2 linked regions of the Lonchura striata genome follow. The protein of the gene in region 1 purifies or fractionates together with the protein of each later gene. This does not show direct contact. Links are inferred from orthologs where the notes say so. Each region holds a gene or a part of one and is shown on either strand. Other genes may lie near its edges.

Region 1 (7,039 bases):
CACTAGGATGTCTAGCTACCACATGCTGGAAGTGAAGCACCAATAAAATTTTAGGCTGCATGTGGAAACAGAACTCCTAACTACAACTCCTATTCCTGTAAAGATTTTTCTGTATGCCTGTACACAGGTTAGGTATACTCAATTACATAAAAGTCTATTTCAAGATAATACATTTTTCACTTATCTTTGTGTTATTTAATTCCTTCAGAGTAGGGAAGGTTTTCATTATGTTTGTATTTCATAGAGAGGTTTCACTTCTAGCTAAGACTTCAATAACTATCATTTTGGAGTAAAAGAAGATTCCCATGGCTGTTCCAGCTTTATCATTGCAATAAAGTTTGTGCATATTACAGTGGAGCATGAACCACAGAGTTACATTGAGGATATCTCAGTTAAAGCCTGAGTGAAGTGGTTCAGCAGTAACAGGCACCCTTTAATGGTCTTAAGTGTTCTCTGTCATTCTGCTGAAAAGCTTCAGATGTTCACAGGGAAAGAGGCTTGAGCAAGGGGCTAAAAAACACTGCCCTCAGAGAAGCACACAGAGCACTTCAGATCTTGAGCTTTAAGGGTCCATTTGAAGGATTTAATGAGAATGCATCACAGAAAACAATACTGACAGGCCTGTATCATTACAATACTGGACATGAAAGCTGTGGAATGAGACTGAACTGCACTTACCCTTATAAGTTTGGTGGAAAACATAGTAAACATGTAGATCTGACTTTTATTTGTGCCAACGACCATCATTTCCTCAGAAGGGCTGAAGCATATACATGCAATGTCCTGTCTGCTTGACTTTTTTGGCTCAGTGCTAAACTGGTCTTGAGGCAGCTGCACAAAAAAGGCATCCCATGGGTTGTGCCAGGTTTCCATATTTTGGTAGTAGGCATGCACACACACAAACTTTTATTGTAATGCTCCTCTAATAAGCACATTCATAATATCAGCAAGACAACTTGGATATTAAATAGCACATAACTACTGCAAGGCATGGAATAGAGGACAAGAGAACAACCTAATGGTATTCATAACATCACAGCTGAAACGAAGTATCAGGGGACACTTCAGCAGTAATGTGAATTACTGCAATAAACAAGAATTAAAATGGTAGTAGAAAAATATCAAGAAAAAAATAACAAGTGTCAGAATGAGAACTGCCTAAAAACTGTGGTTAGAATAAGAGCTCTTTGTAATGTATCATTAAGGTAGATAAGTCTTATTACAGGATCTCATGCATAGGGAAGATATGACCTTTTAGAATGAGAGTATGGAATCTTGACTAGATTGTTAGAGTTAAATATTCTTATACAGAGATTTCAGTAGGTCAATGCATACAGTTTGCTATAGAACAGTTAAACAGTTAGAAGGATTATTTAAGTGTGCACAGGTCTCATGACAGCTGTAATAAATACTTGAGGGGAGAAAAGCTCTCCTTGGAAAAAAAATCAAGTAGCCAGGTTCTTCAAAACTGATCTAAACTACCTCTTAGTCCCCAAAGTCTCCACAAATAAAAGTTTCTTAAAGTTTTCCTAAGGTTTAGCACCCTCAAAGCACATTTTATATGTGGGAAGGAAAGATACAGAACTACCTTTCAAAAGGTCATCAGGCACTGACTTTCAGTGTTACCTCTGGCAACTCCTTTCAACATCACCAGGACAGTTAGCTAATCCTTACAATGCAGTTTAGCAGTGTGCTAAAAATTATTATTCATAACTGAATCAGAAACACAGTTCTCTAAACAGGGCTCTGCTGCATAATTGATTACAAAAGCTTTTTTCCTCCTTACCCAGACTTCTTGTCTCTCCTCATAGACTTCCTTTTCACCAGTCTTTTCAAACAGAAGAACAACTCCTGGGCTAGGTGAACATGCAAAACCTTTGGAATATGCTGCAACTGCAGATATTTGAGGCAAAGAATGCTGTTGTAAATCATTATCTTCAAAGGCCAGTCCACTAGAAACACCAGAAATGCAATTAGGAAATCCATAAAGACTTAAAAATAAAGAAGCACAAATAAAAAAATGCTAAGCAGCAGCTGACAAACTGGACAGGAAGGAAGTAACTAATCCTGCAAAACCATGGGACTATTACTAATAACAGTGAAGAGATTTACCTCTCATATTCATTTGTTGTATCTTCTTGATTCCTGGGTGTTTTTCTGTACTCCAAACTTTTCTCCCAGTGCAGCTCTCCAGTTTCAAACAAGCTAAGTTTGCCTGTGTCAGTGCCACATATAACTTCCTCCTCAGACAGCCAGGCGTGGCACAAGTAGTTTTCTGGCTGTCCCCTTTGTAAATTCATCTGCTTTAAATATCCTTCACTGTACTTGAAAAGTTTAAAAAAGCCATTTCCAGTGATACAAACCTGGGTATTATCTTGAGGATTAAAGCTCACCTGTGGAACAAAAAAGAGAGGAAGTATTTTTTCCAGCTATGTTCATAAATAAGCAATGATTATTCCTGAATACTTTCTGTACCAGATACAGGAAAATAAACAAAGGAAGATGGTTAATAGAATATTGGAATACCAAATATTACCAAATACCAACAGAATACAGGAATACCAAAGAGAGTAAGAATTAGCCACCATAACTCCAGACTGCAGTTTTCCCCCTTTGAAAAGTGTGTCTATTAAAGTTAAATTACTAAAGTAAGGCCAAAATACCTCTTTACTACTGATTAACAAATTTTTCCAGTAACAAGCTTCCTGAAAAGTGGGACCATCTGTTCTCAAAAGGCCAGGAATAAGTTCTGTATACCTGTGTTTCAGGCTAACATGAATTCACATAATTAGGTGTTTATTTGTGAAAATTATGGAATAGCCATCTCAATACTCAACATGAAGGATAGGAAGAGTAGTTTGAAGTAATTTTTTATGCTTAATGGGACTTTACACAGCCAGTCTTTACATTCCCCTCTCTTTAAGAGTTGAGGTCATGAATTCAGTAGGTCAGCCAACCTCTGCTTGTAGCTGTACCCCAGAAAAAATGTCAGCTGGAGTTCAACCAACACATGGACTGAAACTACCAGACCTCCCTACTACATAAAAGAATCTAAAAAGGAGCACCCAAACCTGGATGCAGAAATTATTTGTGCCATCAGCCTGCTCCTAACCACTCATCTCCTCCACTCTGAACACAGAAGACTGCAGGAAGGAAAAGGTGCAGAGCGCTTCCAAGAAGTGTGTTACAACTACTGGGCACAGCCCAGTAGCAGTGGCACCATGACATAGATCTCATGTGATATAAGAGAATCTCATGTGATACAACAGATACAGACATGAGAATGTCTCTTATGGGTCAGTGCAAAACTTTATTTAGCCTAGTGTCCTATTGCTGAGGGAGGCTAACAGCAGATGCAAGAAAAGTCAGAGAAACTATGAAATATACATTGTGGAGCCCTCTCCTCCGGAGTTCGGAGCCGTTACCTGGCAGGGGCCGCCGCCCGCGGCCTGCAGGCGCACGGCCGCCGCCAGCTGCCGCTTCTCCCACAGCCAGCAGGCGAGGTGGCCCTCGGGGGGCGCCGTGGCGGCCGCCAGGAGCCGGCAGTCGGGGGAGAAGGCGAGGGACACGGCCTGCCGCGCCGGCAGCTCCTCGGCCGCCAGCACCTTGCGGCGCCGCGCCCGCTCCGCCGTCAGCTCATAGACCGCCAGCACCGGCTGCTCCCCCGCCGCCTCCGACAGCGCCAGGAACCGCCGGTCGGGACTGACGGCCAGCGCCTGCACGCCCCGGCTCTTCTCCGTGCCTGCGGGGAGCAGAGCGGTCAGCAGTCGGGACCGGGACCGGGACCGGGGTTAGGGTGGGGACCGGGGTCGGCGCCACCTGGGATGAAGTTGTGCCACTTGTGCTCGAGGTGCAGGCGCAGGCAGCCCGCCCCCGCGGCGTGCAGCACCACCTGCTCCTCCAGGAAGCAGACGCCGCCGGCCACCCGCGGCCGGCAGCCGAACACGGCCACGGGCTGCACGGCCGCCGCCGCCATGCCGCCGCCGCTGTCGCCGTGGTGACCGCGGCCCCGGCGGCCCCGGCGCCCGGAAGCGGCGGCGCACGCGGCCGGAAGCGGCGGCGGCGATGGCGGCGGCGGCGGCGCGGCGTGGGTCCTTCTCGGGCTCCGGCTCGGACTCGGAGGATTCCTCGCTCTCGGACTCGGAGGTGAGCCCGTGGCCGCCGTGGCGAGGCCGGTGGGGAAGGGCCCCTCGGTGCCGGCGGCGCGGACTGACCGAACTCTCTCGCAGCTCCAGGAGGCCTTCGCGAAGGGCGCGCTGAAGCCGGGGCTGAACGTGGTGCTGGAGGAGCGGCCGAAGCGGCGCAATGACACGGTGAGCGGGGAGCGCGGGGCCACCAAAAGCCCCGGCGGGCTCGGTGCTCCGCGCTGCGGGGCGGGGGCCGGCTGTGGCCGGGCGGCCCCAGGAGCAGCCACCGGTGCCGCTCGGCCACCGGGCCGGGTCGGGCCGTGCGCTGCTGTGCTGAGCTGTGCTCCTTTCACAGGACGGCCTGAGGCAGTGCCTGGCCGAATTCAGGCAGCAGCTGGCCTGGGTGGAAAGGCTGGACGTGACTCTGGGCCCGGTCGCGGACCCCGTTTCTCAGAGTGCTTCTGCGTCTGATGCCGTTGACCCTGAGAATGATTTCCAGAGAGAGATGAGTTTGTAAGTGTCAAAAGGAGATTTCATGTGGCGTCCCAGTATGTTGCTCCGTTTTTGGAGTTACGTTTCACCAGTGTGCTACAGGTTGCTGCAGGCTGCTACGCTGGCTGTCACTGTGCTACTCTTGGCCATGTTATTTTACATTCGATGGCTCTCAATGTTTTCCAAAATAACTACAAATTAGTGCTAGTATATTCAACTGCTGTGTGACTGAAAATAAATAATTTCCCTCTTCATAGCAGACTTCATCTTTTGCTGAGTTTATTTTAAAAGCTCCTTGATAGCAGGACAAACTAACACAATTTTTCTTTGTGGGTTTGTTTTGGTGCTCTTACAGTTCTCTTGTTTTGCTTTGCCTTTTATATTCCAACAAAAAAAACCCCTATAACTGGAAATAAGATAAATGTTCATGTGCAAGATATAAATGTTAATGTTGTACTGGCACCTAAGCCGCTTTCAGTAGCACTGGACGTCCACAGAATGGTGATATAATTCCAGACCAATGCGTGCTAGATCCCAGCATCAGCCTGCTTGTGTGAGCAGTTTGTGTCAGCACTGTGAGGTGCCTGACATGCAGTGACAGGGCTGCTGCAGTGACAGGCTGCTGCAGTGACAGCACCAGTGCAGTGACAGGGCTGCTGCAGTGACAGGGCTGCTGCAGTGACAGGCTGCTGCAGTGACAGCACCAGTGCAGTGACAGGCTGCTGCAGTGACAGGGCTGCTGCAGTGACAGGCTGCTGCAGTGACAGCACCAGTGCAGTGACAGGCTGCTGCAGTGACAGCTGCTGCTCTGCTCTCTCCCAGCTACCGGCAGGCACAGGCAGCTGTCCTGGAAGCCCTCCCCAGGCTGCATAAGCTGCAAGTTCCCACGAGGAGGCCGGATGATTACTTTGCAGAGATGGCCAAATCAGACCAACAGATGCAGAAGGTACGTGCAATGAGTGGCTTTCTTTCCAGTGTAATGTGAGTGTTTTAGTCTGGGGTAAGGATTAAATTTAAGGTGTGACATATGAGTACTGACCATTGTCGCTTTTCCAATTCCTGTGACAATGATTTGGTTTGAAACTTTGTGACAGGAGATTTCTTTTTATTTAGGTTTTTGGTGCAATGTGCAGAGTTTTATAACAGGTTGGATGATGAAGTAGAAAAACACAATTTCTACTTTGTCCTGGATGTGTTTAATATTAAAAAGGGAGAATTTTTCTTAGTATGTGTAACAGTGGATGTAAAGTTGCCTGTTTTTGCTCTTTGTCATAAAACTTGCAGTTGACTGTGGCTTTAAAGCAATTCTTTTTTTCCTATTTAAGGAAAGACACCTTTTGTTTATTGTCAGTGTGTTCCGGTTTTCTGTGATTTTAAATGGTATGTTATTGAATGAATATGTTTTGGATAGGAGGTTAGATTGGTGTAGGAAATAAGTATTTCACACATTTCCTTTTTGCCTGTAGTCTTTGTTCAAAATTGAACTCTATTTTTTGGTTTACATTTGTTAAAAAGACTACATTGTATAAATTAAAGAAGCATGAGCTGGAGTCTAGTTTGAAGATTAATGTATCATTGGGTCACTATTCTGCTTTCTGATGGAACATTTCTAGATAAGATGAAGAATGATAATTAGCCAATACTAAGGTTTAAGTCAATCCTGCACATCTTTTGCTGACTTGCATTTGAAGAACAGTTTTTATCTCCTGCTGGAGTCACTAGACTGAATCACAAAGATGTGTGTTGAAATTTTTGTAATTCTTCATAAGGCAGCATCCTTATAAAAATGTTTGTCAACAAGGAGGAAACAAAAATTATATTTTCTACAGGATTGTTGTCTTTTCTTCAGTGCTTTACTTTTAATAATGACAAGAAAGAAACTATTAAGTCTTTTTCATACACCCAAATAGACTGACAAGTTACTCTCAGTTCTTTAGAGCCTATTATATGGCTTTGTCTTCTCTCTTGTGTGAGTTTTGTCTTTTTTAGCCAGATTTTGGCTATAGATCAGTACAGAAATTATAAAATTATCTTTTTTTTTATGTGTTACTAATAAATTTCGTTTTTTTCTATTCTCTAATTAGATTCGACAGAAACTTAAGAGTAAACAAGAAGCAATGGAAAGATCTGAGAAAGCAAAACAACTCCGTGCAATGAGAAAATATGGCAAGAAGGTGAGGAGCTACAAAAGGGACATGTGCAAAAGGATCTGTGAAAAGAATTTAGAGCCTGAGTGGGGAGCTGGAAAAGTGTGACCACAGGAGTCTGGCTAAAACACACAGATCTGTCTAGTCTTCCATCTAGCTGCTCTGAAGGAAAACAGAACAAAAGTATGGGACACTGCAAGGAACAACACTAACTTTCTGCTTCTAATCTCAGGTGCAAGTTGAGGTTCTGCAGAGGAGACAAAAGGAGAAGAA
Region 2 (7,028 bases), on another chromosome or scaffold:
GAGTTGTGCTAAGAATGATCCCAATCCTTTGTGATCTTTTCAAAGTTCAGAAGTATAAAACTGCTACTTGAAAAAAAACCACTTGTGATTCTTAAGTATGTTGCCAAGAAAACATTTCCAGTGAAGAAACACTACAACTACAGACTGACCTGAATAAACAATTCTTTTAGCAGGGCATAGTGTGGCTCTCGGTCGAATAGCTACAAAAACAAAAATATTATTTTACATACAAGGCTAAATGCAATAGTCATGCAAAAAGAGTAAGAACACACCCAAATGAAATAAAGCCTATACTTACTGGATCAAAAGACAAAAGGGGTCTTGAGCCCCTTAGGCAATTTCCTGTCATCTTCAATTCAGCCAGTGTGTGAACTACAGTGATTAAAAAAAAAAGTTATTACACACAGAAAATTTTTCGGACACAACAGCAAAAATACAAACACAGTAATGTCCACCAGCTTACCATTCTGCACCAAGAATTTAGCAGATGGTCCCTGTGGCGTGTTTGAAAGCCTTCAGAGGACAAGCGGTGGGGAACAGAGAAACAAAAATGTTAACAGCAGCCAGAATTTATGTTAACAGCCAGATAGATTTCCACACTACACCCCAACCAGTTATTCCTGCATTCAAGTAGTTTCTGCTACTTTTACAGCTGTACTGTAATGTGTATGTATGCTCATAAAAACTTGTTTTCTAAACAATTTTGTAAAATGCTTCTGCGAACAATGTCCAAAGCTGTTCACTGTAAATTTCCACAATCCACAGAAGTACAATATTAGAACAAATTTAACTAAGCAGCCGTATTTCATGCATCTTCACTGTTAGAGTCGGAAACTTCAGATAGAATTGCAGCTATAAATAGAAATGTAACAAAGCAACATTTCCTTACCACATGTAGAGATCCTGTTTCTTTTTAGCTTCAAAAAAGATGCACTTATTGCAGTTTTTCATTTCACACACCTACACAAGACATATCAAATTAGTGCTTACAAACATCCTGAAGACATTTTTGATAACTTTCCACATTCATCTCTAACATTTTTTCCTTCTCCAAAATGGAAGTACAAAATAATATTGTCTTATTAAATGACATCTACTGACACCCAAAATTTGGTTTGGCTTTCTTTTTACATTTCACATACTTACTACAAGGAGTAATAACCTCCTTAAAGCTACAAACAATTTGATAATCCTATCCAGGATACAAACACAATAACATTAGGTTCTAGCTTGAGAACTGTCAATATCCTACTATATTTGGGCTGGTGGCATATATATGTCCTGCACTGTTCAAGCATAAGCTGTACTACACTTCTCACCTACACAAAAAGCACATTATGCTAAATTTCTTCATGAATAAAATCTGTATCTAATTAAAAGTTTCATTCTGGTTTTATTAACCAAAAGTCAACTTTTGGCTTTTTGGGTATCAATAATTTTCACCACTGAAGTTACACTTTGAAATCGGTTGCCCCTTTCCCTTGCATACTGAATTTCCATATAAAATAAAATAAAATAAAATAAAATGAAGAAGCACCAAGACAAATACTGAATTACCTCATTGATTACAAATAATTGGTCTTTACGGTCCATTTTAGTATCTGGAAGACAAAACCAACATTTACAAGGGTGGAAAACCAATTTAATACAAGAGATTCTTTGAACAGTCAGATGTTTTACAAAAATTGTACTAGTTTATAAATGAAAGGGTAATTACCAAGTTGTTCCTGTCACGTTATAGAACAAATAGACATAGCAACAAAACTAACTGTGCAGGTTCAGACTGAGACCATAGGATTCACTTCTCAGAAAATACTATGGTACAACAATTGCAATACTTGTTGGCTCAAAGGGTGTTTGTTTAAGATACAAGCTTCAGCAAAACTCTTCTGTACCCCATTTTAAAAAAATAAAAGAACAGATCATTTAGAGCTTTTAGCTTTAAAGTAGTGTCAAAATATAAGTTAGGAATGATGTTCAAACCCCACCTGCTTTAGAGTGAGGCATCAATGTCCTTAAGTCCTGCATTAGGTGTCTTGTTCTGAAATTAATTCCACGAGAGGAGAATATCAGCACTCGCTCCTTGTTCTTCCATTTGCCCTAGGAAAAAAAGGCACAATAGTCACGTGGGAAGCTTCCAGCCTTAATAATGTCATAACGCAGCAAAATAAAAGTTTGGACAGTCAATACAGAAAGACACAGCAAGAACCTTGGTTTTGATCTGCCCACGCAGACAGGAACCACGCTCTCTTTAAGAGTGAACTTCCCTACAGCACGGGGGGCACTGCTTTTACAGGAGGAACCGTCCTCATCCTGATCCACGGCGTGCTCCCAGGCACATCCTTTCACTCCCATCCAACTACTAAAAAGCCACACGTGCATCGCTTATTTTCCTGCAAAATGGGCTCAGGGACAGCCCCAGAGCACAGCCCAGCTTCTCCTGTCGACGGGCGTATTGTGAAATCTTTGTGTTTACGCGCAGTATTCCACGTTTTTCCTACAAGCAAACAATTACGGAAACCTTCTCTGTATGATTCCTAAACGGAACAAGTACAGTTTCCATACAGCTTCAGTATACAACAGAATTACCCAATTCTTTCAAATACTTTTGAGACTGAGGTAACACATCTTACCGACATGGACCAGGCTAACGCTTCTCGCGTACAGAAAAAAACGCGCCACCACGTGTACTGTTAGTTGTGATGGTATTATAAGAGATTACGAATAACCCTCCCTGTCACGGCTTGGCCGCGTTCCCTCAGGCCCCCCGAGCCCGGGCCGAGCGGCGGTACCTGGGACACGGGCGGCGGGATGCGGTATTCCTGCGGCGGGATGCGGTTTTCCTGCGGCGGGATGCGGTATTCCTGCGGCGGGGCGCTGCGCTCCCCAGGGCCGCCCCCCGGCGCCGCCTCGCCCGCGCTCGGGGCGCTCCTGGCGCGCTTCGCCTTCCCCCCGGCCGGCGCTCCACGTTGTCTCTTGGCCGCCATCTGTCCCCACGCCATATCTCGCCGGTGTCCGCCCACTCCGCTTCCTGTGTCGCGTTTCCTGTGCTCCCGCCTTCCCGGTGCCGCTCTCCGCCCCCCGTGCTGCCGCCTCCTCGGGCCCGGCCATGCCGTTCTCGGCACAGCCGCCCGCCAGCGGCGAGCGCTGCGCGCTGTCCGCCAGCCTGGACAATGCCCGGCACCTGTCCAGCCTCCTGCGGGCCGTGCACTTCCAGGACTACGCCACCTGCCTCGCCACGGCCAGCGGGCTGCGCGTGACCGTGGAGGATGCCAAGTGTATCCAGGCCAACGCCTTCATCCAGGTACGGGGACACCGGCGACGGGGAGGGCGCGGCTGCCGCAGCCCGGGAGGACAAGGAGTCTCTGGATAGGGTCCGCCGGAGGCTGCAAAGGTGATTAAAGGACCGGAGCATCTCTGTTGTGAGGAGAGCTGGGTCTATTTAGTCTGGAAAAGAGCGGACTGAGAGTCTCACCAATGCATATAAATATCTCAAAGATGGGTGCCAAGAAGATGCTGCCGGACTCCTTTTTGTGGTGACCAGTGGCAGGAAGGAGAGCAATGGGCATAAAGTAAACCACCACCAAGTTTCACCTCAACACCAGGAAGAACTTCTTTACAGTTAGGGTGGTAGAGCACTGGAACAGAATGCCAGGGAGGTATTGGAGTTTCCCTCTCTGGAAATATTCAAACCCTGCCTGGATGTGTGCCGTGTCACTTCCTCCAGGTGACTCTGCCTTGACAGAGGGTTTGGACTGGATAATCTTTAGAGGTCCCTTAACCCTAACAATTCCATGTGCTCACCTGTGGAAAAGGGGAGACGTTGCTGGAACCGAGGCAGAGGTGCCTGGCTGTAGGAAGGACCGTGGTGAGTCTGCCCCTGTTTGTGGGTGTCCATGCTGCTGGAATTCCAAACCCGGCACCAGTACATCCCTGAACACGTAACAGTGTAGTGGGTTTGCGCCCTCATCTAATATATTGGTGCCTGCCAAACTCATGCTCCTTCTGGTTGTGCTGTTCTTAGTTGCACAAGCAAGTGCTCACTGTACCTCTCTTTTTATAGCTCATCCCAAAGCTAAAAGATTGGATTTTTGTCAACTGTGAAAGAGTACAGATTCACAGACACTTGATTGAAGATGGTTGTGCTGTGTTCAAAGCACCTCAGGATGCAGTTTTCTCTCTGGGCAGCCAGGAGAATATGAAATTACTTTTCCAAAAGCACCTCATGCCACCTTGCTTTATTTCTGAGATACTCTGTTCTCGTAGGTGCAACAAGCAGTGAGTACCAGTGACAGACAGCACAGCATAGAGCAGTTTATCCCCATCAGGCTAGTCAAAGGCAGGATTCAGCACATATTTCAGAGTGGTGAAGTCACTGTTCTGTTCTTAAGTACTAGTATTTGGAATGTTTATTCATGCTCTGAGCATAAAAAATATGAGTATTGTCACTGTAGAAATGTGACACATTGTACAGTTCCATGAATATTTCTAGCTCCAGAAGTAAGCAGCTCTAGGTTTTACCATTTGTAGGTTGTACTTAAACCATAAGAGACAAGTATTTAGGTTTCACGTTTATGCCATTTTACCTTGTTTCAAATGTAGTTTGGTTGTGTTTTCCTAGTTTTGAGGATGAAGCCCCATTTTTCTACAATCAATGTTGTGTTGCATGTAGAAATCATTTTGTGTTGTACTGATTTCTGGATGGGAAATCCTGAAGTTTAAGCTGTAAAATAATTGCAGAAACTCCCAACTTTTCATATTTTTGCTTTAATTTACAGGCAGAAATTTTTCAGGAATTCTCTGTTCAGGAGGAATCAGTGATGTTCCGGATCAGTTTGTCAGTTCTTCTGGACTGCCTCACCATTTTTGGATCCAGCTCCTTGCCAGGTGTGGTATATTTCCATGAATCCACAGAAGGTTGTGCTGGCACTGCAGGATGTGTATTCACATGGCATGGAGTGATACCATGGCAGCTTTCTGGACAGTTCTGCTCTTGCAGCTCTGTGTTGTACTCCTCACTCCCCTGCAGTTTTGGTTGTGGATGACCTAAAGATCCAAATCGAGTGTGCTAAAGAGCACTGTGGTTTTAGGAAACCGGAGGTTCAGGTGGTGATAACCTGCAACAAGAGGGTGTGACTGCAGCACAAGCTCAGCTGCTTTAACTTCAGTTTAGGTTGCACAAGTAACAAGAGTAGTAAGGAAAGATGATGTGAGCCAGAGAACCACAGGGCCATGAGGATTTTCCAATTCCTCTAAACTGTTTGTAGTGCGTCTTAATTGTCAGAGCTGGTGGGTGAAATTATTTGGCTTTAAGTTGTCTACACACAAGTAATTTAATTTTACTGCATACCCATTAGCATTTCAGAGGGTATCTAGGAGGCAGCACTAAAATTGATCTGTGGCCTGTGTGCCAGAAAAATGTGAGTTTTCTAAAGTGATCGAATGTTCTTGCTATGGTCTCTGCAGAATGTATGTTTTACTCTCTTTTTCAGGAGCATCAACGGCCCTTAGAATGTGTTATCGTGGTTATGGCTATCCACTGATGCTGTTCTTGGAAGAAGGAGGAGTAGTAACAGTATGCAAAATCAACACTCAAGAGCCTGAGGAATTGTTAGATTTTGATTTCTGCAGTACAAAGGTTGTTAATAAAATTATCCTGCAGTCAGAGGGACTACGAGAAGCATTTGCTGAACTGGATATGACCAGTGAAGTTCTGCAGATTACCATGTCTCCAGATAAACCCTACTTCAGGTACTAAAAATGGCTTTCAACTCAAATGTTTGTGCTTGGCTGCCTTTGGTGAGGAGTGGAAATTTTCACGGTGGAGAGAGGGGAGCTATTTTAGAATACCAGTTCATTTCAGGAAGAATTATAATGAGTATAGTAAATCACAGTATGTTCTCTAATTAACATAGTAATGAGTATTTTGACAGCCTGGTAAATGTGACACTGGTGTGGACAGTTGAGCATTTTTGATTGAATAAAGTGAAACAAACAGCAGAGTTTGGTAAAACAGTCATGGGATACGTACAGTGACTAATTTTAATGAGTTTTTACAGAGTTCTCATCAGGCGTTTTGAGATCGTGCTTTTTGTCTTCCAGGTTATCCACTTTTGGAAATGCTGGAAGTGCACATCTAGACTACCCTAGGGACTCTGATTTGATGGAAGCATTCCACTGTAACCAGACCCAGACAAACAGGTTAGAAAGTGATTGATGCTCTCTATGCCAGGTCATACGTTCTTGACGGGAAGTTTAAGAACTGCCTTTGCATTTCTGTAACATTTATTTTATTAGTATGGGGGGCAAAAATACTCCCTGTCTGATAAAAGGCTGTGTCTGCAATCAAAAGCTAAGTGATGACAATGAGAGTTCAATGTTGTTATCAGGTAAAGACCAAATAAGTGTGTTCCTTACTGTTTTTTGTTTATTCTGGGTCTTTATTCATGATTCATGTTGCAGCTCCTCTTTGCACAATGTATTTTTTTCATATTACTGAAATAATCTATAATAGTAGTATTTTCTTCTGCAGGTACAAGATTTCTTTGCTTAAACCATCCACAAAGGCACTGGCTTTGTCTTGTAAAGTGTCCATTCGAACAGATGCTCAAGGATTTCTTTCACTGCAGTATATGATTAGGAATGAAGACGGACAGATCTGTTTTGTGGAATACTACTGTTGCCCTGATGAGGACATCACTGAGGCAGAACTCTAGGTGTGTGTACTGGTGTATCTAATATATTTTTGTTTATATAAAATATTATATTTTTTACAAAACTTAATGAAAGCTGTAGATTTTGATAGAGTTAATATTGTCTTTATTTTTTAACTCTGGAATAAGAAAGCTAAAAACTTTCATTTTCTTGCACTGCGAACATTTCTTAGCCTTGACTCAAACTGAAGCTGAAAAAGCAGAAAGGGGAGTTGTCTCATAGACACTGCTTCCAATACAGATGTTAAAGTACTGTTTGTGCAATACATTGATGCTATTTGCAATGCTCTCTCAATAATTTTTGTTTGTGTTATG

What was found. Proteins that work in one complex are often made in the same cells at the same time.
Region 2: the proteins of EBNA1BP2 (region 1) and BRIX1 purify together in Homo sapiens (affinity purification with mass spectrometry; 4 studies listed by BioGRID and IntAct, counting the BioPlex papers as one, with this or other methods). This does not show direct contact. The link is inferred for Lonchura striata from reciprocal best matches to the Homo sapiens genes EBNA1BP2 and BRIX1.

The regions. Positions count from the first base shown.
Region 1 is NC_134611.1:15,146,620-15,153,658, forward strand, and holds the start of EBNA1BP2 (putative rRNA-processing protein EBP2), read left to right. Parts: upstream 1-4,038; 5' UTR 4,039-4,065; coding exon 4,066-4,146; intron 4,147-4,229; coding exon 4,230-4,313; intron 4,314-4,482; coding exon 4,483-4,640; intron 4,641-5,441; coding exon 5,442-5,565; intron 5,566-6,703; coding exon 6,704-6,793; intron 6,794-6,998; coding exon 6,999-7,039. Other genes in the region: CFAP57 (cilia- and flagella-associated protein 57), read right to left, coding at 679-831, 1,787-1,952, 2,113-2,393, 3,426-3,742, 3,820-3,976. UniProt on the Homo sapiens protein: Required for the processing of the 27S pre-rRNA.
Region 2 is NC_134642.1:38,213,307-38,220,334, forward strand, and holds the start of BRIX1 (ribosome biogenesis protein BRX1 homolog), read right to left. Parts: upstream 3,003-7,028; coding exon 2,793-3,002; intron 2,101-2,792; coding exon 1,989-2,100; intron 1,602-1,988; coding exon 1,558-1,601; intron 961-1,557; coding exon 890-960; intron 514-889; coding exon 464-513; intron 373-463; coding exon 299-372; intron 201-298; coding exon 150-200; intron 1-149. Other genes in the region: cell cycle checkpoint protein RAD1, read left to right, coding at 3,110-3,304, 4,779-4,887, 5,493-5,751, 6,103-6,201, 6,533-6,716. UniProt on the Homo sapiens protein: Required for biogenesis of the 60S ribosomal subunit.